3 linked regions of the Arabidopsis thaliana genome follow. The protein of the gene in region 1 interacts with the protein of each later gene in a pairwise test. Each region holds a gene or a part of one and is shown in the gene's direction. Other genes may lie near its edges.

Evidence for each region.
Region 2: the proteins of AT4G13620 (region 1) and AT5G51980 interact in a two-hybrid assay, tested with the Arabidopsis thaliana proteins (one large-scale study listed by BioGRID).
Region 3: the proteins of AT4G13620 (region 1) and FAR1 interact in a two-hybrid assay, tested with the Arabidopsis thaliana proteins (one large-scale study listed by BioGRID).

The regions. Positions count from the first base shown.
Region 1 is NC_003075.7:7,929,311-7,935,785, forward strand, and holds AT4G13620 (Integrase-type DNA-binding superfamily protein), read left to right. Parts: upstream 1-2,820; 5' UTR 2,821-2,827; coding exon 2,828-3,994; 3' UTR 3,995-4,269; downstream 4,270-6,475. Other genes in the region: AT4G13630 (zein-binding protein (Protein of unknown function, DUF593)), read right to left, coding at 4,783-4,824, 4,976-6,093, 6,170-6,475.
Region 2 is NC_003076.8:21,112,861-21,119,366, reverse strand, and holds AT5G51980 (Transducin/WD40 repeat-like superfamily protein), read left to right. Parts: upstream 1-3,169; 5' UTR 3,170-3,318; exon of another isoform or gene 3,319-3,433; 5' UTR 3,434-3,464; coding exon 3,465-4,016; intron 4,017-4,389; coding exon 4,390-4,479; intron 4,480-4,598; coding exon 4,599-4,700; intron 4,701-4,792; coding exon 4,793-4,939; intron 4,940-5,040; coding exon 5,041-5,160; intron 5,161-5,238; coding exon 5,239-5,298; intron 5,299-5,394; coding exon 5,395-5,492; intron 5,493-5,572; coding exon 5,573-5,717; 3' UTR 5,718-6,006; downstream 6,007-6,506. Other genes in the region: IMPA-8 (importin alpha), read left to right, coding at 19-343; CBF4 (C-repeat-binding factor 4), read left to right, coding at 1,580-2,254; AT5G51970 (GroES-like zinc-binding alcohol dehydrogenase family protein), read right to left, coding at 6,083-6,275, 6,369-6,506.
Region 3 is NC_003075.7:8,610,934-8,618,670, forward strand, and holds FAR1 (FRS (FAR1 Related Sequences) transcription factor family), read left to right. Parts: upstream 1-3,126; 5' UTR 3,127-3,340; exon of another isoform or gene 3,341-3,759; 5' UTR 3,760-3,872; coding exon 3,873-5,996; intron 5,997-6,092; coding exon 6,093-6,146; intron 6,147-6,266; coding exon 6,267-6,335; intron 6,336-6,429; coding exon 6,430-6,492; intron 6,493-6,584; coding exon 6,585-6,656; intron 6,657-6,744; coding exon 6,745-6,792; intron 6,793-6,883; coding exon 6,884-6,937; 3' UTR 6,938-7,237; downstream 7,238-7,737. Other genes in the region: AT4G15080 (DHHC-type zinc finger family protein), read right to left, coding at 19-147, 228-299, 401-469, 549-935, 1,053-1,166, 1,252-1,296; catalytic LigB subunit of aromatic ring-opening dioxygenase family, read left to right, coding at 7,521-7,737. UniProt on the Arabidopsis thaliana protein: Transcription activator that recognizes and binds to the DNA consensus sequence 5'-CACGCGC-3'. Activates the expression of FHY1 and FHL involved in light responses. Positive regulator of chlorophyll biosynthesis via the activation of HEMB1 gene expression.

The DNA.
Region 1 (6,475 bases):
AGATTAATACAATGATATGTACTAGGCCGTCTGTTGCTATTCTCTATCAACATTTGTTTTTCTTTTGGTCTTTGACAAAAAAAAAAAAAAAAAATGCTCTATCCGTAGATTTTGAGTTTTAAGCTTAAACAATTGTTTATAGACACGCTTATCTCACTCGGAAGCTCAGCCATTAACTTTTTATTGAAACATATAACGGCAAAATAGTGGTATATATTTCGAAAAAAAATCATGAAATCTAATAGAACATGTAGCAGTAAACAAATTTTTTTAATTATTTATGTATAAAATAAAATAATTATTGGAATATAACATTAAAAGGGTAGAACCTGTATTTTCTTCAATAAAGCAAAATCATAGACAATTGCTAACATTTTTTATATGTCTATTCTATTTTATATTAACGTACGAAAGTAAAATGTGAAATGTTTTGAGATCGAGAATGCTATTTTTATGAAAACAAATAACGAAATTGGAAAAATGAATTAGTAAACCAGATAAAGTCATATGTTGTCACTTGTTTTTTTTTTTGTTTTTTTTTAATGTTGTCACTTGTCATCATTTTATATTATGTTTTTTATGTCCTATCTATAAATGATAGAAAATAGAGATATTATTTAATAAACAAAACCTCCTTAAATATTTGTTTTTGAGATGATGTATTTAGGAATGTCGTATAATAGCGCCAACTTGCTAATTTATATTGAGTATTAGTTTTTAAATTATGAGACAGTGACCAAAGCAATTTTTTTATGAAAAGTTCTAATATAATTGTAGCCTTTTTTCATTAGATGTCTGGTATACATGGTTAAAAATGTCTTCACGGTGACCATCAGTGATTAAAGCCCATACTAAGACATACATTTACTATTAAAATATGTTAGAGATCAAATTGGATCAAATTAATTTACATGAAACTGGAATAGGTTAAAAATAAAAATAAGAAAGAAATACTTTTTTCCTCTGATTTTTTTGGTCAACTGCTTTTTTTTTTCCTCTTAAGCCTTTTTATAAATTTTATTTTGTCGTTAACATTTTGTTTCCATAAATCAAATAATAATTCTTTTCGTAAAACGACCCAACAGTCATCTCAAAGGACAAAATGTGCATCATCTCAAATTAGAATACGAAGCTTCCAATTCGACCCTTATCTTACCTGTTTGATTCATTGTTAAACATGTTTAATGAACTATATTATATTAAAAAAAGAAACTTATATCTTGATTAGTTACTTAAATTTAGTCTCAAAATCTAAATTGACAATATAAAAAATTGGAGTAACTAAAGATGAAGCAAGAGATGAGTATATGCGTCGGAAAAAGTGTTCTTGCAAGGAATTGTATCCATTGTAACAGTGACTAACATGAACGAACAGAATAATTTATGGGTGAATCCGATTAATTTAAAAAGTTAAGAGACCACATCAGCAAGTTATTACAATATTGTAAAATAAAGAAGCAGACATAAACTGATGTTCTAGAGAGGAAAAGAAGACAACCCATGACTTCCGCATTAGTTGGATTCAATTAGAGGCCAAAACTTGAAGCTAATCATTGTATTTGGATGATAATATTAATAATTATGGGCTCACTAATTATAAGCATTTGTGGTGATTATCTGTGCTAAACTATACGTGGTTTACAAATTAAATTTTATTCTCCAATTAGATAAATGTTATCATGAAATATCGTTTCAATAATGTTTTCTTGGTATCACATCGCTCCAATAATTAGTCCCGTACAACTGTAATTAAGAAGTTTAATAATTACTATTCAGTATGTATTCAGACGTACATATATATATATATAGATATATTTTTTGTAATTTGCATTTCACAGCGGATCACTAAATATACATTAAACATTTGTGTATTCATCTATATATATTACTATAATATAATAGTGAAAATTTATGTTTTTTGAGATGGAATCTAGCAAAGAAAAGTCCTATACTGTATGGTCCAAAGTCATATTCCTAGGTTTCGCCTTAAAAACTCTAAAGATAACTAAACAGACGAGAATAATAAATTAAACACAGTTAGAATCGTTTGTTTATTGAAAAAAAAAAGCTTAAAGAATGCTTAAAGATTAAGGTTCTTACAAGAAATATATATATCTTAGTAAGGGAAACCAAATTTACATATAAAAAAAATATAAAAAAAATTGGTACTTCTTTTTCTTGCTATGACTTTGAATATACTACAGATTTAATGTTCTAAGTTTAATTAACAAGATATTGAACATTAAACCACATCCTTTTTATTTTTCGTGTACTGTATATACATATATATTGAATATATATCTCTTATTAACAAGATATAACAATAATGTAATATTAGTACAACCATCAAATTGAAAAGCAAATTTCGTATTTATACAATATGAAAAAACTAGAAGAACTTTTAAATATTTAAAGTGACCAAATGAAAACAACGTTGGTATCCAACAACAACATCATTCGTAAAATTTAAATATAAAACCCTATACCAAAAAAAAAACAATATATGGCTATATATAACACCTAAATGAGTTAGGGCTAAGCTGTCACGTTTGGATTGATAAGTTATAAGAAAAAGCGAACGTAAAATGGAGGCCACGAACAAGTCGCAAGATAAGAAAAAATAAAGGTCAAATTATTGTTTATGAAAGAAAAAAATACAAAATATTAACAATAATATTGTTTAACCAAAAGTGTTTGTGAGACTCTTTAATTCTCTAGTTTACATATGAACAAATTAAGCTTGGCAGAGCGTAGATCTGAGTCAGATGATAATGTTTTTTTCGGACAATAAAGTTAGGTTCCTTAAATTTTCTAATATTATCTCCACATGATCACACCAATACACACACAACACTCCTTAATTCTCGTATATATAAACATTTATTCTCCACCTATTTTGTCAAAATTAAGAACAGGCTTCATTCTCTGGACAAACACTCAAAAAACAAACAAAAAAAGGAACATGGAAGATCAGTTTCCTAAAATAGAAACTAGCTTCATGCACGACAAGCTCTTGTCTTCTGGAATCTACGGGTTCTTGAGTTCTTCGACGCCGCCACAACTTCTCGGTGTTCCAATATTTTTGGAAGGTATGAAATCTCCTCTTCTTCCTGCTTCTTCGACTCCGAGCTACTTTGTGTCGCCTCATGATCATGAGCTCACATCTTCTATTCATCCATCTCCGGTAGCTTCTGTTCCTTGGAACTTTCTAGAATCTTTTCCTCAGTCTCAACATCCTGATCATCATCCTTCTAAACCTCCAAACCTTACTTTGTTCCTTAAAGAACCAAAGCTACTAGAACTTTCTCAATCCGAAAGCAACATGAGCCCTTACCATAAATACATCCCAAACTCCTTTTATCAATCAGACCAAAACAGAAACGAATGGGTAGAGATCAATAAAACTCTAACCAACTATCCCTCGAAAGGTTTTGGAAACTATTGGCTAAGTACCACCAAGACTCAACCCATGAAGTCAAAAACAAGAAAGGTTGTTCAGACGACGACCCCAACAAAACTGTATAGAGGAGTGAGACAAAGACACTGGGGCAAATGGGTCGCAGAGATTAGGCTTCCAAGGAACAGAACCCGTGTTTGGCTCGGCACTTTTGAAACCGCTGAGCAAGCAGCAATGGCTTACGATACAGCAGCTTATATCCTTCGTGGCGAATTCGCACACCTCAACTTTCCTGATCTTAAACACCAGCTCAAGTCCGGTTCTTTGCGATGCATGATCGCCTCACTTTTGGAGTCCAAGATTCAACAGATCTCATCTTCCCAAGTAAGTAACTCTCCTTCTCCTCCTCCTCCAAAAGTGGGAACACCGGAGCAAAAGAATCATCACATGAAGATGGAGTCAGGAGAAGACGTGATGATGAAGAAACAGAAAAGCCATAAGGAAGTGATGGAAGGAGATGGTGTACAATTGAGTAGGATGCCTTCTTTGGATATGGATCTCATTTGGGATGCTCTCTCATTTCCTCATTCTTCTTGACTTCAAATTAATATTTGTCAAACTTATTTTACTTACTTCTACCCTTTTTTATATCAAAAGTTTCCACCAAAGAAAGAAATTCATATTATGATGCCAAGATTGGTTTGCATTTGGGGTTGAACACATTGTAATTCTTCTTACGACCACATAATCAAGTGGTTCTCCTTTTTTTGTCTGCTAATTAATTGTTCTTTTCTTTGCGGTTACTAGTAACCATAAAATAGAAAAGTGTTTGTTTTCTAATGAGAAAATATTATAATTCTGTTGCACCAACTCCAACTTTAAAAGTCCAATGTTAGAATATTTCCTACATTCTATACTAAAGCTCAAAGGTCAATAGAGAATATGAATAGTAATAGGGCAGAGAAGCGTTAAAGGGCAAATATGAATTTAGATTATCTTTTCTTTTGTCAACAACTACAATATGAGTTTCTACAACCAAATAAAAAGTTGATTATATAACTTTAGAAATAATTATGTCATTTTTAGCTTCAATTGTATTTCCGAATATGCAAACAAAAGTGAAAAATCTAAAGTTTTGGCACAGAAATAGAAAGAGGACAAGTATCACTTATTTGGAAAGAGAAGAAACTTAAACTTTTTACCGACCACAAAAGCGTCAATTTTTGTTTCGAAACGACGCCGTTTAGAGTACAAAGTACAATACTCTCCCGGCAATAACCAACATTAGAGTTTTGGCAGAGATTGTTACAAAACTACACTTGCTCATGTTTTCACTAGGCGTATAATCGTGTCGTGTTATTTCGAGTAAGTACATACCTTGCAGTTCAAGCACTATGCAGGTCCAGTGGCATAGACATAGCCTTTACCTGCAAAAACACCATTTGAAACCATACAAGATTCAGCCACTTGGTAAGCAAAAAACCATGGAAGATTTAACTACCAAGAACTGTGAAACAAAGAGAGCACTCTTAGCAATTTTTCAACCCTCATATCAAAGCACACAACGATGAAACTCACCATTGTGGATGAAGGGCTAGAAGAGTCAAGATGTCCAGATCTTCTAGCCTCCCAAAACCGGCTTGTTTTATCTCCACAACGCTGTACCTGCGATTTGCTCTGATCTTTGGAAGAAAAACTGATCTTCTCTCTTCCCTTTTGTACAGCTCTTAACCGACCTCTCAGCAACCCAACTTCACTCTCTATTTTCAGTCTTTCATAGTCAATAGCTGACATTGAATTTCTTCGCATATTGGTAGACATGTTACTTTTCCCTTGTGGAAATGCATAACTTGTATCTGAAACACTTTGTGATCTGTCCAGTTTCAGATCCTGAGTGGCATGGTCAGAAGGAACATTCAGTTGCCCCTTGTTATCTTCATCAGTCACTACATGGATGTCATGTACATGACAATCAATGTCGTGAGGGTCCTCACAAAGCTTCTTAGAAACAGCAATGTCGCTAGTTCTTGATACTAGTTCTGCATATAAAGTTTCACCTTCCTCTCTTTCTTTCAGTTCTATATCACTCAGGGCATCAAATGGCTCACTTCTTGACTGATCACACTCAGTATTGTCCATCTGATTAGTGAAGATCTCAAATCCAGAAGAGACATTCACAGTCTCCATGTCATCCCATGGTTCAGTAATCTGTTGCGGCGTCTGCAATCTTTCGATTTGAGCTGGTTTAGAATCTGGAGTATTGTGAGGTTGCTCAGTCTCAAGAAACATTTGCCTGTAGGTATCAACTTCCTTCTCCAGAAAATGTTTCTCCCTCTCCCTCCTAAGCAAAATTTCTTTAAGAATACTCATCTCTTCCGCATCAAAAGCAGACTTTTCTTCTATCATCCGCTGATATTGCCTAGCTTCCATCTCTATCGACGCCTTTTCTTCTTGCAACCGTAATATCATACCTAAAGCCTCATCTGCAGCAGATGCAGCAGCATTTCTCTCTTTCTCAAGTTCAAGAGCTAACGAAGCACGTGCAGCTCGTTCTTCCCCAAGCACTTGTTCTGACATCTCAACCGTCCTCTGTACCATACCAGGGGAACTGCATGCACCCTCTCCCACTCCACACCCAACAGAACTTAGTGAAACACTTTTCCGCAACGACACATCCTCCAATGCTTTTCCACTATCTACAATGTTACAACTTGCATCAAAATCAACATTCACTATCCAATATAATTGAATAAAGACAACAAAAAAACTTACCATTGGAGTTCACAAGAAGAGGATCATTTTCATCATATGATCCCTCAAAGCTCTTAAGGCCTAAACAACTTTGGTAATGGTTCTTGAAACCATACGGCGACCTATGGAAGCTAAGCCGCTTACTCTTAACTTTAAAGCTTCCTTTTTTCAAACTTTGCGCAGTTAAAAGATCGAACCCTGAAGCCTTATTCTCAAACTTTCCAACAGAAGGAGTAGTACTAGATACCTCATCTTCCAACTGAACACGTCTACGCTCACATTTTCTCTTCTTTCCACCATTATACAGAATTGAATCAAAAGGTGTTC
Region 2 (6,506 bases), on another chromosome or scaffold:
TCCATTGGTGTGATTCAGATACATGGCGGAGCAGAGTTGCATAAAACAATTATGTGATATCCTAGTATATTCAGATGAAAGAACCACCATCTTAAAGTGTCTGGATGGATTGGAAAACATGTTGAAGGCCGGAGAGGCTGAAAAGAACAGTGAAGACGTGAACCCTTATTGTCTACTGATTGAAGATGCGGAAGGGCTAGAAAAGATTTCGAAGCTGCAAATGAACAAAAACGATGATATCTACGAGAAGGCTTATAAGATTCTGGTGACGAATTGGTTTGAAGAGGATGATGAGAACAACAACAACAACGTCCGATGTGATGATGTGGACTTTCAGGTGTGAGAGAACCAAAGTTCCAGTTCCTTATATGGAAGATCCCAACACAATTATTTGTTATAGTGAAAAAAAAACATCTTACATGGGACCAAAGGCTTTGCACCTTTGTTGTCTCAGGGCTTTACTTGGTCTTTAATTGAATGTACAAAGTTGATGTAAAAGCTTTGGCTCCATCGTTCATGGAGTCTAGTACATTGTTTTGGGTTTTAAAAGTTTTCTGTGTTAAAGCTCGTCGTCTAATTGATGTTGTGTTTGGTTTTAGTTGAAAGGTTTAGACGTTTAGTAAAAAAGTTACTCAAATTCTTGAAATCTCCTTGGCCTTGCTGATTATAAAATCAAATATTCATTTATAAAATTATGCGAAAGGGTCTAATTATTTTTGAAACCGAATCGAATGAAGACAACTCCATTTTGATTGATTTTTTTTTTGTTGTATTAAAGAATAAAAAACTCGACTGGTTCAACAAGACTGGATTGTCTTTAAACTACTGGTTCAATGTATTTTGGGTACATAATGAAAAAAATACACAATCCGCCTTGGCCACGTATCCATCTTTGGCTTAGTTGATGATGATAATACTTTTGTTTTTTGGTAAGGCTGATGATGATAATAGTTAGAAGAAGTTCATAGAATAATCCAATGGATTTCCAATAATAAAACACAGAAATAAATATAATCCAAACAATTGCCAAAAATAATGAATAAGAAAAGGGACCCACACCAAAAGCTAAAAGCGCGTGGGTCAGATTACAAAAAGCGAAACCCCAAACCGTGGCTAGACAGCGGACGAACCCGTCCCTTCAAACGTGGCTCACCTTTCGAACCACAGAGAGCAGTTTACACTCCAACTGTCAAAAACGTGTTCCCATGACGTCATCCTCAACGTATCTTTATCACTTTTTAAAACTAAAGACTGTTTTGTCTTTTTCTAAATCGTCCCCTTTCTCCGAACACCATACTTAAATTCAATAAAATAATAAATATCAAAACTGAACCATCGAATCGGAACCAGCCACAGTACACAATACACTTAGACGAAGTAAAGTGATTCAGAAGGACACGTGTAAGTCACATACCGTGGGACACTTGTCGTTACCAGATCCTCCGTGTTTCTCACTTTTCTTATAAAATAAAAACACAACACTTCTTCACTTTCTGTAATAAAAATATCTCCAAAAGTTCCAACACCTGAAAACATAAAAAGATAGAAAGAGAAATAAAACATCTTATCCAAAGAAAAAATGAATCCATTTTACTCTACATTCCCAGACTCGTTTCTCTCAATCTCCGATCATAGATCTCCGGTTTCAGACAGTAGTGAGTGTTCACCAAAGTTAGCTTCAAGTTGTCCAAAGAAACGAGCTGGGAGGAAGAAGTTTCGTGAGACACGTCATCCGATTTACAGAGGAGTTCGTCAGAGGAATTCTGGTAAATGGGTTTGTGAAGTTAGAGAGCCTAATAAGAAATCTAGGATTTGGTTAGGTACTTTTCCGACGGTTGAAATGGCTGCTCGTGCTCATGATGTTGCTGCTTTAGCTCTTCGTGGTCGCTCTGCTTGTCTCAATTTCGCTGATTCTGCTTGGCGGCTTCGTATTCCTGAGACTACTTGTCCTAAGGAGATTCAGAAAGCTGCGTCTGAAGCTGCAATGGCGTTTCAGAATGAGACTACGACGGAGGGATCTAAAACTGCGGCGGAGGCAGAGGAGGCGGCAGGGGAGGGGGTGAGGGAGGGGGAGAGGAGGGCGGAGGAGCAGAATGGTGGTGTGTTTTATATGGATGATGAGGCGCTTTTGGGGATGCCCAACTTTTTTGAGAATATGGCGGAGGGGATGCTTTTGCCGCCGCCGGAAGTTGGCTGGAATCATAACGACTTTGACGGAGTGGGTGACGTGTCACTCTGGAGTTTTGACGAGTAATTTTTTGGCTCTTTTTCTGGATAATAAGTTAGTTTAGGGATTATTTGGACATCTAGGATTGGTCCGGAGTTCCGTACCTGTATTTTTTGTTTGGTACCAAATCTTTAGTAATAAATCGTCTATCATTTATTCTTGTTAGAATGTTCTTTGTTTGTTTTTGGTAAACAGATTTGATCAAATTAGAGCTATAGAATTTGAAAATTTTGTTTTGTTGTATCTGAAACTGTAAATAGATTTCTCTTTGTTTCGTTGATGTATTGACAATCTTTACCAAATTTCCAGAGCTTATAAAAGCTTGAAACCTCTGCTTTTCCAAATATAATCCTGATTCACATTATCATATATTCCTTGTAGACTCAGCAAAAAAAATTAAAACTATAAAATCTCTTACACATTAGTCCAAACACGTGAATGAGTAATAGAGGTCCTTGACCATTAGACTGATATAGCTTCTATATTGTGGTTCTTAAAAAAGGTAGAATATTTATATGTGGCCTCAAGCTTCTCATGAGTCACGCCTTATGGTAATCATCTATCTTTTTTCTTCTAAGCAAACACTGAACACTTGGAAATCTTTTCACTAGAAAAACATGTCCCTGGCCCTCACTAACTTTACATGTCCTTTTCTTTCAGTTATAGAAGTGTGGGGTTTCTTGGCTCGCTAGATTTAAAAACCCTTCATTATGTATAGGGTTGTGCTTGTGCCTAGAACCCTTCATTCCAAGGCAAAAGCATAAACCTACAATCCGGTCTAAATCAGAACCGATTTAAACCGAGAGAAAACACTAAAGTAATTTTGTAAAATAGAGCCATCATAGGGATAAAATAGTAACTAAACAATAGACGTCAAGCTGACGCGACTGGTGTTCACTTTCTCTTTCTCTTCTACTACTTCTGTCCTCTCCACGAAGATCCAAAGCTTATAAACACATACAAATAAATCCACTCCAAAGTTTTTCTCTTTTTTCTCTGCATTATTATCACTTCACCACATTCACAACAATCCCAAATTTTTCTTTCTCATACTTTCATATTTTGATTACTACTTCTCAGAGATTCTTTTGGTAATTAGGGTTTCCTCCAATTTTGCAGCTTGATTTATCTATATACCAATCGGAAAAATCCTTACTTTTAAGTTCGGTCTTGTGTTAATTTGCGTCTGTTGTTATTGTAATCTAGAGAAAGAGAGTGAGAGGCAATAAAAAAAGCTATGGATTTCGATTTGAACGGAGGAAACAAACGAGTCTTCAACAGACTCGGTGGCGGTGGCGGGTCAACTCGTCCGATGGCACCAACGGATACAAGACAAAAGGTTTGTTTCCACTGGCGAGCCGGGCGTTGTAATCGTTCTCCTTGTCCTTATCTACATCGGGAATTACCGGGTCCTGGTCCGGGTCAAGGTCAAGGCCCGGGTTATACGAACAAAAGGGTCGCTGAGGAATCTGGTTTCGCGGGTCCGAGTCATCGGAGAGGACCTGGGTTTAATGGGAACTCGAGTAGTAGTTGGGGGAGATTTGGTGGGAACAGAACGGTGACGAAGACTGAGAAAGTTTGCAACTTTTGGGTAGATGGGAATTGCACATACGGTGATAAGTGTAGATACTTGCATTGTTGGAGTAAAGGAGAGAGCTTTGCGTTGTTGACTCAGCTTGATGGTCATGAGAAGCTTGTTAGTGGTATTGCTTTGCCTTCTGGTTCTGATAAGCTTTACACTGGAAGTAAAGATGAGACCTTGCGTGTTTGGGATTGTGCTTCTGGACAGGTATGGTTTGCTCAAAGGACCTTAAGCTTTCCTCAGTGATAGAATTGTTTGGTTAGGATATAGAGTGGCTTTAGAGAATGCAGTTGTTGTCCATGGATGTTATTGTTGTCCTCTCTAGCTAGAAAACCATGTTTGATGAATAGTTATAACTGCTTGGTTAAGATTTAGAGTGACACAAGAGACTGCAATTTGTCATAAGTAGAGTAGTGAGCACTGATATATCGATGGAAATTGGTGTCTTTGTTGTCAAATTAGGAAAGGAAGTGTCTAATTCGCTGATGCTGATTGTATTTGAGGAATGCATTTTCTGATCTTGTGAAAGACTGTTTCAAGTTTACTTATCGTGGATATTGTTCTTTTCTCTTTTGATTAGTGTACAGGAGTACTCAAACTTGGTGGGGAAATTGGCTGTGTGCTTAGTGAAGGCCCGTGGCTATTAGTTGGCATGCCAAACCTTGTCAAGGCAAGTATTCAGTATGATTCCTCTTAACAGTACTTTTCTTTGACTGTCACAATAGATATCGAGGAACCCTTTTCATTCTTAGATGCTTATGGGGTTATGTCTCATTGTTGTTGATACAGGCGTGGAATATTGAAACCAATGCTGACCAGAGTCTAAGTGGACCTGTTGGCCAAGTCTATTCTCTTGTTGTGGGTACTGATCTGCTCTTTGCTGGAACACAGGTAAATTTCCAAGTTTTCTTTTCTTGCTGAGATCTCTGCGAAATAGTCGGCTTTTGGTTATATAAGTGACAAGTTCTTTACATTCTGTGCAGGATGGCTCTATTTTGGCATGGAGATATAATGCTGCCACTAACTGTTTTGAACCATCAGCGTCACTGACGGGCCATACACTTGCAGTTGTTACCTTATATGTTGGGGCGAACAGACTTTATTCGGGTTCCATGGACAAAACTATAAAAGTAAGTACTAGTATTATCTATTATATTTGAATTGAAAACTCTCACTATTTTTTTCTTTCTTTGAGCTAATCTTTTTGGTTTATATGTTTTTTGTTTGATAGGTTTGGAGTTTGGATAATCTACAGTGTATACAAACACTCACTGATCATTCATCAGTTGTGATGTCTCTCATTTGCTGGGATCAATTCCTTTTGTCTTGTTCATTGGACAACACGGTTAAGGTTAGTTCGTCTTTCTTTAACTTTCATAAATTTCTTAAGTTTCATTCTTTCTCTTGTTAATGTGTTTTTCCGCTGTAGATATGGGCTGCAATCGAAGGTGGCAATTTGGAAGTAACATATACTCACAAAGAAGAACATGTATGGTTTCTTTTATAAATGTGTTACCTTCTCTTATGGTCCTAATCTATATGTTATGTGACTAAGAAATTTTGGCAATGTTTAAACTGGATTCAGGGAGTGCTAGCTCTATGTGGTGTACATGATGCAGAAGCCAAGCCTGTTTTGTTATGCGCTTGCAATGACAACACCTTGCGCCTCTACGACTTACCATCGTAAGACTTTCAACGTTTATGTATGAATTCTTCATCTCTTTCTCTCTTATTGGTTCTGATAGCTTAGGTTTGTTCATTAGATTTACGGAGAGGGGAAAAATCTTTGCAAAGCAAGAGATACGGGCGATCCAGATAGGTCCCGGGGGCATATTTTTCACGGGTGACGGAACTGGTCAAGTTAAAGTATGGAAATGGTGCACTGAACCAACCGCGGCTTTGCCTTGAGAAAGTTTGATGCTATCGTCAAAGAGATGTTTTCTACGATTTTCTTGTACCATTATATATGAGTCTATTTTGGAGACTTTTCTTTCTTGTTGAGGTCCTCCTAGTAGAAGCCACGGTCTGATGAAATGGACAGTGGCCAAGATCGTGTCATGTTAGGAGTTTTGAGACAGAATCGGGAGAATTTAGGTCCCTTTTTGTCCAATTTCAGCATTTGTCTTGTAACGCTTGGATTGTATTGGTCAATTTATCATAAAGGATTATCTTATTCAAGAGAGATTCAGAGTTGATATACAATGGATAACAAAGTTACAGAAGCTTCCTTATTATGAAACCTTAATATGTTCTTAGAAAAGCAAAGATTGTTTTCAGAGATTGAACATAACTTTGATGGCATTGCTCCCACGAGCACTGGTTTCAAAGGCATCTTCCACTTCCTTTTGAGAGAAACCGAATCTGTGGGTTATGAGTGGCTTTACATCAATCTTACCACTTGTCAGGAACTCAAGACACAATGGCCATGTGTTCTTGTACCTGAACACACCCACCACATCTACCTCCCTGTCTCCAAACCAACACATTTACTTGGTTATTATGTGATTGTACTTTTCAAAAGTTAGAAAGTTTCTTACTATGATGGTCAAAGGAGGTTACCTTGCAGCTGCAGGAGTGAGAGGGACAGTCATTATACCGTGACCCATTCCGACAAGACAGACTTTACCGCCACAACGAGTGGCTGCTAATGCTGTCGACATGGTTTTGTTAAAACCCGCACAGTCGAATGTTACATCG
Region 3 (7,737 bases), 680 kb from region 1:
TACACTAAGAATACTTACAACAACTGTGGCAAAAGGTGCCCGAGAAAATCCATTTCCAAGTCTATTGACGATTTCTGTTTCCATGTCCTTCTTATTAACAAATACACGCACTATAACTGCAATTCCAACTCCTGCTTCTATAAGGAGCTGAGAAAGAGAAAGATTTATTGATTACTGGTAAGCAAAAAGTGAGCTTGAGAAAAGGCATATCAGGAGAATATACGTACCCAGAGAAGACTGACAGCCATCAGCGATATAAAAGTCATATAATTCTTGCGACCAACACAATTGTTAAGCCACTGTTGCATTTAAATACAGCTATGTCATTTGATCACACCCATAAAACTCTAGTCAATCAACTCCAAGAAACAGTTAATTATCATAACAGTAAGAAATTTACCCGGCAATGATGATCGAAACAATCTACACATTTGTCGCAACTTCGACAATGCTTGCTAAACTTACGGACCTGTCACAAAACCAAGGTGAACAAAGGATTTAGTAGTTGCTTCTTACTCTTCAAGCATAAACCAATATTAACACATTACCTCAGCATTGCACAACGTGCAAAACAGAGCTTCTTCCCTATCCCCTTGCTGCTCATCCGTCTCTTCTTTGCTACGACAATCTTCATAAACAAACACGCCACAGCATATTGCCAACGGATTAAAGCAAGATTTTCTTTTAGCAGCTTCCACTCTTTGAGCATCTCCAACAGAACCTTTCACACTAGAGTTTGGTAAAGTAGAAGTCCTGGAAGCAACCGAAGGGGAAGACTGCAGGTGGCTGCCCGTTTCATCAAATTTTCTCGAGATATCTTTGGCAGTAGGTAAGTCACCACCTCTACTCGCACCTCTTTCGAATTTCGACATGATTCCTGGATCAGCAGGATTGATTGCAGTACAACGAACATAAAGAACGAAAACAATAAGAGCCTGCAAAACAAACACATGACACAAGAAGCAAAAGGGTATCAGATATGCAAAACTACCATGTACCTACCTAGCTCTTATCAATTCCTTATCATTCTCTAAAGCGATTCTAGTACATACCACAGGAGAGTAAACACCGAGAAGAATATACTCCCAGATGCGTCCTCCAACAAAAGGAGCGAAAAACGCATAGTATGCTACACTCAATAAGCAGAACACCGTAATCGCAACCACCTGTTTCATGACCAAACGAAACAAATGAACTAAAACCCAAATGTTAGAAATTGGAGAAAATCAGAGAAAGGTTGAAATAAAAGACCTGAAATTTGTGAGCAGGAAGTTGCCAACCATGTTTCCTCACCATTTTTGCTTCCTCCCAAAGCTTGAACACACTCACGAATCACAAAATCTAAACGAAACCCTAACGCCGCCGCAAATCGTAAAAAGAGACAATTTTGCTTGCAGTTTTGCGAAACCCAGAAGGATATAAGAGAAACCAAGCTGAGAAAATATCTTCTTGGTCTTCGTATCTCTCCCTATCTAACTAACTATGGTAGGTCAGTCATAGTCAAGTGACGAAAGAGGAAAGTAAACTCCTGTAATATATTAAATTGAAAATAAAAGAAAAATAACGAATGTGAAATTAGAGATGACCTAAGCGAATTCAAAGTTAGCAAATTTAGAGTCGAATAGCGAAGAAAAAGCTTACTGTGTAGCCATGGCGGAGACCAAAGTAACTGGAGAAGGAAGAAGAGAGAGAGAAATGGAAGAAGGAATAAAAGAGAGAATTTTTAGAAGAAAGAAAAAAGACAAAATAGAAAAGCGTTGACAGGCTAAAAGAGCGAGACGGACAAATGAAAGTGGTTACTGGTTACTATTAGTACCAACGCTGGATTTTTAGCTTACGTGTCTATTTCACCTCTTTGATATTTTCTTTTTTTCCGTAGCAAATTTTAATTATTTTTAAATTATATAACCATTATTAATGATAATATGGTAGCTTAAAGTATTAATTAAATAATATAATTTTTATATAATATTAAAAAGTTCTCAGTAATACTTAAATATATATATATTAGAAAGTTATTTAATGTCTAAATTTCAGATTTTTAGAAGAATTTAGCCAAATTAAATCAAATATTAAAAGATTTTGCTGTTTAAAAAGGAATTAAATCAAAAAATATTAAATGAATTAAAAACAATTATCTTCCACTCCACATAAAAAAAAAGATATGTGAGTAGAAAAGAAAAAAAATATTAAAAGATAAGATGCAAACCCTGCATTTGTAACTCCATAACTAAATCTAAAAGCAAGTGACTCAGAGCACAACTCTCGTACAATTTGCCCTACAGTTTTATTTATATTTGGTGGCAAATGTCAGCTCTGTTTTGATGTGAAAGCCATCAACATCATGTAATTGATTAGCATATTACATATAGAATATGAGATACCCACATATATATAGAAAAAATGACGGTAAAGATTAAAAAAAAAAGTATACTTGATTTGTCATAATAAGAATAAGCATGTATCTCATATGTACAAAAATAGATTTAATGTTATTTATTTTAATATTCTTGTATTTTTTGTTTTATTTGAACTTATAATAAAAAAAAAACTGTAGATATTAATAGTTATGTAAAAATCATAAAAATAGATGTAAAAATCATATTAAAAGTTATGATAAATTTAGTTTACTACATAACTCTTTTGAAAAATGTGGAAAAATTATAGTAAACTGTATGAAAAGAAGATTATCATACAGTTAAAATTAAAATCTTTTAGAACATGTGTAGTGGTGGTTTCTAACCAAAGTTTTTAATTTACTAAAGTAATAATAATAAAAAAAATATTTAATTTGAAGAGTTTTTTAAAATAGTTTTTTCAAATCTTTTAAATTAAAAACTTTCTCATATTTTCTTAGAAATTGTTTTAATTAAAAAAATATTGTTTATTATTTTATTATTATTAATGTAGGCGAGAGATTTTGGTAAAAAATCACAATGCTGATGCTTTTAAAATAATCAATTTTTCTAAGAATACATAAATCAGCAATGCTTCTCACACGCCAAACGTAAATATAGACGCGATTATGAAAAAAAATCGCGTCGAAAACAAACGTCATTATGTCATTACACGTGTTACCAATCAAAAAGCCTTTATGTTTAATTAGTAAAGGCTAGTAAGAGATTTACAACAAATGAAAAAAATAAAAATAAAAACATAATCCAAGATCCCTAAAAATTCCCAAAAAGAACCCTAGATTTTCTCCTCTCACGCTCCTTGGTTCCTCACTCGCTTTTGCTTCCCCACTCGCCTGCTTCGTGTTCTTCTTTGCTTTGCTCTTTTCACGTCAGAATTTTGCCTTCCCTCCCTTTGTCTCTCTCTGGGTGGCCGAGAAAATACAGTAAAAAGCCCTCACCAATCCAAAAGTTTGACATTTCCTGAATTTTGTAGTCTCTTCATTTGAATTCTCAGGTTTTCTCTTAAGATACATTAAAGTCTCTGTCTTTTATGCTGATACTAATGAAAGTTCAGTTCTTTCACTGAAATTTTAGAACCAGAACTTTTCTACTACTAGAAGTATGTTGTCTCTGACTCTCTTAGTTTGAGTTCTCAGGTCTCCTTCTCTTATTTGTGTGAAATTTTACTCTTTTTTGGCTTTAGAAACAGAACTTTTCTACTATTAGAAGTTATGTTGTTGAAAGTTCTTCACTTTCATTTGATTCCATTGATTTCATATTGCTTTGTGTGTTTCAAGTTTGATGTTTTTAGGTAGAAGATGTCGCGCTGGTTCTTATGAAGTTTGGTTGTGACATTTTTCAGGTGCTAAGGTGGATTATCTAGTAGAAAGATTTCAGTTTCCAATTTCATGGAAGCCCATAGTGGGGTAGTTGCTTTTGAGTGTGTTAGTGAATCCATATGTGGCTAAGGTTAGGATGGATTTGCAAGAGAATCTGGTTAGTGATGCAGGGGATGACCATATGGTTGACATTGTAGTTGAACCGCATAGTAACAGAGATATAGGAATTGTTGATGAGTTCAATATAGGTGGAGATGTTGGATTTAGTGGTGATCTGGATCTTGAGCCACGAAATGGTATAGACTTTGATACCCATGAGGCAGCGTATATCTTTTATCAGGAATATGCAAAATCTATGGGTTTTACTACGTCGATTAAAAACAGTAGACGTTCCAAGAAAACTAAAGACTTCATTGATGCTAAGTTTGCTTGTTCCAGATATGGTGTGACTCCTGAGTCTGAGAGTAGTGGTAGTAGTAGTCGAAGGTCAACTGTGAAAAAAACAGATTGCAAGGCTAGTATGCATGTGAAGAGAAGACCAGATGGGAAATGGATCATTCATGAGTTTGTAAAGGATCACAATCACGAACTTTTACCTGCCCTTGCTTATCATTTCCGGATTCAGAGGAATGTCAAGTTAGCTGAGAAGAATAATATCGACATTCTGCATGCGGTTAGTGAACGGACCAAAAAAATGTATGTTGAAATGTCGAGACAATCTGGCGGATATAAGAATATCGGGTCTCTTCTTCAGACCGATGTCAGCAGTCAGGTTGATAAGGGTAGGTATCTAGCTTTGGAAGAAGGAGATTCTCAAGTACTGCTTGAGTACTTCAAGCGTATCAAGAAAGAAAACCCTAAATTCTTTTATGCTATAGACCTGAACGAGGACCAACGTTTAAGAAATCTGTTTTGGGCTGATGCCAAGAGCAGAGATGACTATTTGAGTTTCAATGATGTTGTATCCTTTGATACTACTTATGTCAAGTTTAACGATAAGTTGCCACTAGCTTTATTTATTGGGGTGAACCATCACTCCCAACCTATGTTACTAGGCTGTGCATTGGTTGCTGATGAGTCTATGGAGACTTTTGTGTGGCTGATAAAAACATGGCTACGAGCAATGGGTGGTCGAGCTCCTAAAGTTATACTCACTGACCAAGATAAATTCTTGATGTCTGCTGTTTCAGAGCTCCTACCAAACACTCGTCATTGCTTTGCGTTATGGCATGTTTTAGAAAAGATTCCTGAATATTTCTCACATGTGATGAAACGGCACGAGAATTTCTTACTGAAATTCAACAAATGCATTTTCAGATCTTGGACAGATGATGAGTTTGATATGAGGTGGTGGAAAATGGTCAGCCAGTTTGGACTTGAGAATGATGAATGGCTGCTATGGTTGCATGAACATCGCCAAAAGTGGGTGCCCACATTTATGAGCGATGTGTTTCTGGCAGGCATGTCGACATCTCAACGTTCAGAAAGTGTGAACTCTTTCTTCGATAAGTACATCCATAAGAAAATCACGCTGAAAGAGTTCTTGAGGCAATACGGTGTGATTCTGCAGAATAGGTACGAAGAGGAATCTGTTGCAGATTTCGATACTTGCCACAAGCAACCTGCATTGAAGTCCCCCTCGCCCTGGGAGAAGCAAATGGCAACAACTTACACCCACACAATATTTAAGAAATTTCAAGTCGAGGTCTTGGGGGTTGTCGCTTGCCATCCTAGAAAGGAAAAAGAAGATGAAAATATGGCGACGTTTAGAGTTCAAGACTGTGAAAAAGACGATGACTTTCTTGTAACGTGGAGCAAAACTAAGTCAGAACTTTGCTGCTTCTGTCGTATGTTTGAATACAAAGGGTTTCTTTGTCGGCATGCTTTGATGATTCTGCAGATGTGTGGTTTCGCCAGCATCCCGCCTCAGTATATATTGAAAAGGTGGACAAAAGATGCTAAGAGTGGAGTATTAGCTGGTGAAGGAGCAGACCAGATACAGACCCGAGTTCAGCGCTATAACGATTTGTGTAGTCGAGCCACTGAATTGAGTGAGGAAGGTTGTGTGTCAGAAGAAAACTACAACATCGCATTGCGCACACTAGTCGAGACCCTGAAAAATTGTGTTGATATGAATAATGCTAGAAACAACATCACTGAGTCTAATAGCCAGCTTAATAATGGTACTCACGAAGAAGAAAACCAGGTAATGGCTGGGGTAAAAGCAACAAAAAAGAAGACTGTATATAGGAAAAGAAAGGTATGCTTTTACTGAAGCTTCTCGCCAATCTAAACCTACGTACATTTTCTTAGCTTCAAAGGTTAAAAAGAAGATACTCAAATTGATCTTATGCAGGGACAACAAGAGGCTAGCCAAATGCTTGAATCTCAACAGAGCTTGCAACCAATGGTTTGTGCTTTGATTTGATCTTCTCTAATTAGTTTGATCATTGTAACTGCACATTGCTTTATGAGATTAAGAGTAGGATGTCTTGGATATATGGCCTTATAGTTTTAACATTTTGTGCAGGAAACTATAAGTTCAGAGGCGATGGACATGAATGGTTACTATGGTCCTCAACAGAACGTTCAAGGACTGGTATGCTATGTTAGTTGATTAATACAAACCTGGTTAAGCCATTCGACATCTATTATAAACCCTAATACTAAACCTGTTTAAACTGTGGATATAGTTAAATTTAATGGAGCCACCTCATGAAGGCTACTATGTAGATCAACGAACCATCCAAGGCCTGGTAGGTTACATATAGTTTAAATGCTTGAATCTCCCAAATCTGTGCTAGAGTATAAGTCAACGACATGAATTTTGGTTCTTTTGACTCTTCAGGGACAACTGAATTCGATAGCACCGGCGCAGGATAGCTTCTTCACGAATCAGCAAGCCATGTCTGGGATGGTGGTACATTATAAAATCCTTCAAACTGATTTTAAAAACTGTGTTATGAATGATCGTGTTGTTAACATCTTTTGTTTATTGTCCGGTCCAGGGTCAAATCGATTTCAGACCTCCTCCCAATTTCACTTACACTTTACAGGTCTCAGCTGCCTGGATAAAGTCTTTACTTTAGTATCATTTTGTACTCGAACCACACGTGTTGATATCGTTAAATCTTTTCGTTATTCCAGGAAGAGCATTTGAGTTCTGCCCAATTACCTGGTAGTTCATCAAGGCAGCTATAGTAGCAACACGTTTTGATTACTTTGGAGAGAAGTTTTGTCTCAGGAAACATTTGCAAGAAGCTGTTCCAAACATGAGAAAAACACAAGATCTTTCATGGAGCTGAGTTGCAATGACAAGATGTAATCTTTTCTTAAATTGGTTTCTGTATATTATGGGATTGCCTTATGATGTATTAATGTGGGATGAAATATTGTGTTATCTGATTGAATGTCTTGAGATTTAATAGATGCACTTGTAACAACATCTTTATCTAAACACATAGAAATCTATCCTCTGTGTATTAGTCAAACAAGTAATTTTGAGATCACATTAAATCAAAATTGTTAAAACAGGTTTCAACTTATTTAGTAGAAACAAAAAGTTATTTTTAGATTAAATGTGGTTAATTTGGTTAAATACACATTCCCTGGTCGTTGTCGTATGTAGGTGTGTCCCTTTTGACAAAACAAACAAACAGAAAAGGTTTCTTTATTCAGACAACATCAAAACTGGGGAAGAACCAAAACTAATAGAGTTGGTCAAAAGAAACATTTGCAAAAAAAAAAAAAGAGAGGCAAAGATCTCGAGAGATTTCAATTTTCAATGGAGAAAGTGAATCAAACCTTCTTCTTATCTCATGGATCTCCAACTTTGAGCATAGATGATTCCTTGGAAGCGAGACAATTCTTCAAATCATGGACTCAAAAAGTTCTTCCTCAAAAACCCAAATCGATTTTAGTCATCTCTGCTCATTGGGACACCAAATTCCCATCTGTCAACACTGTTCTTCGCAATAACACGATCCACGATTTCTCTGGCT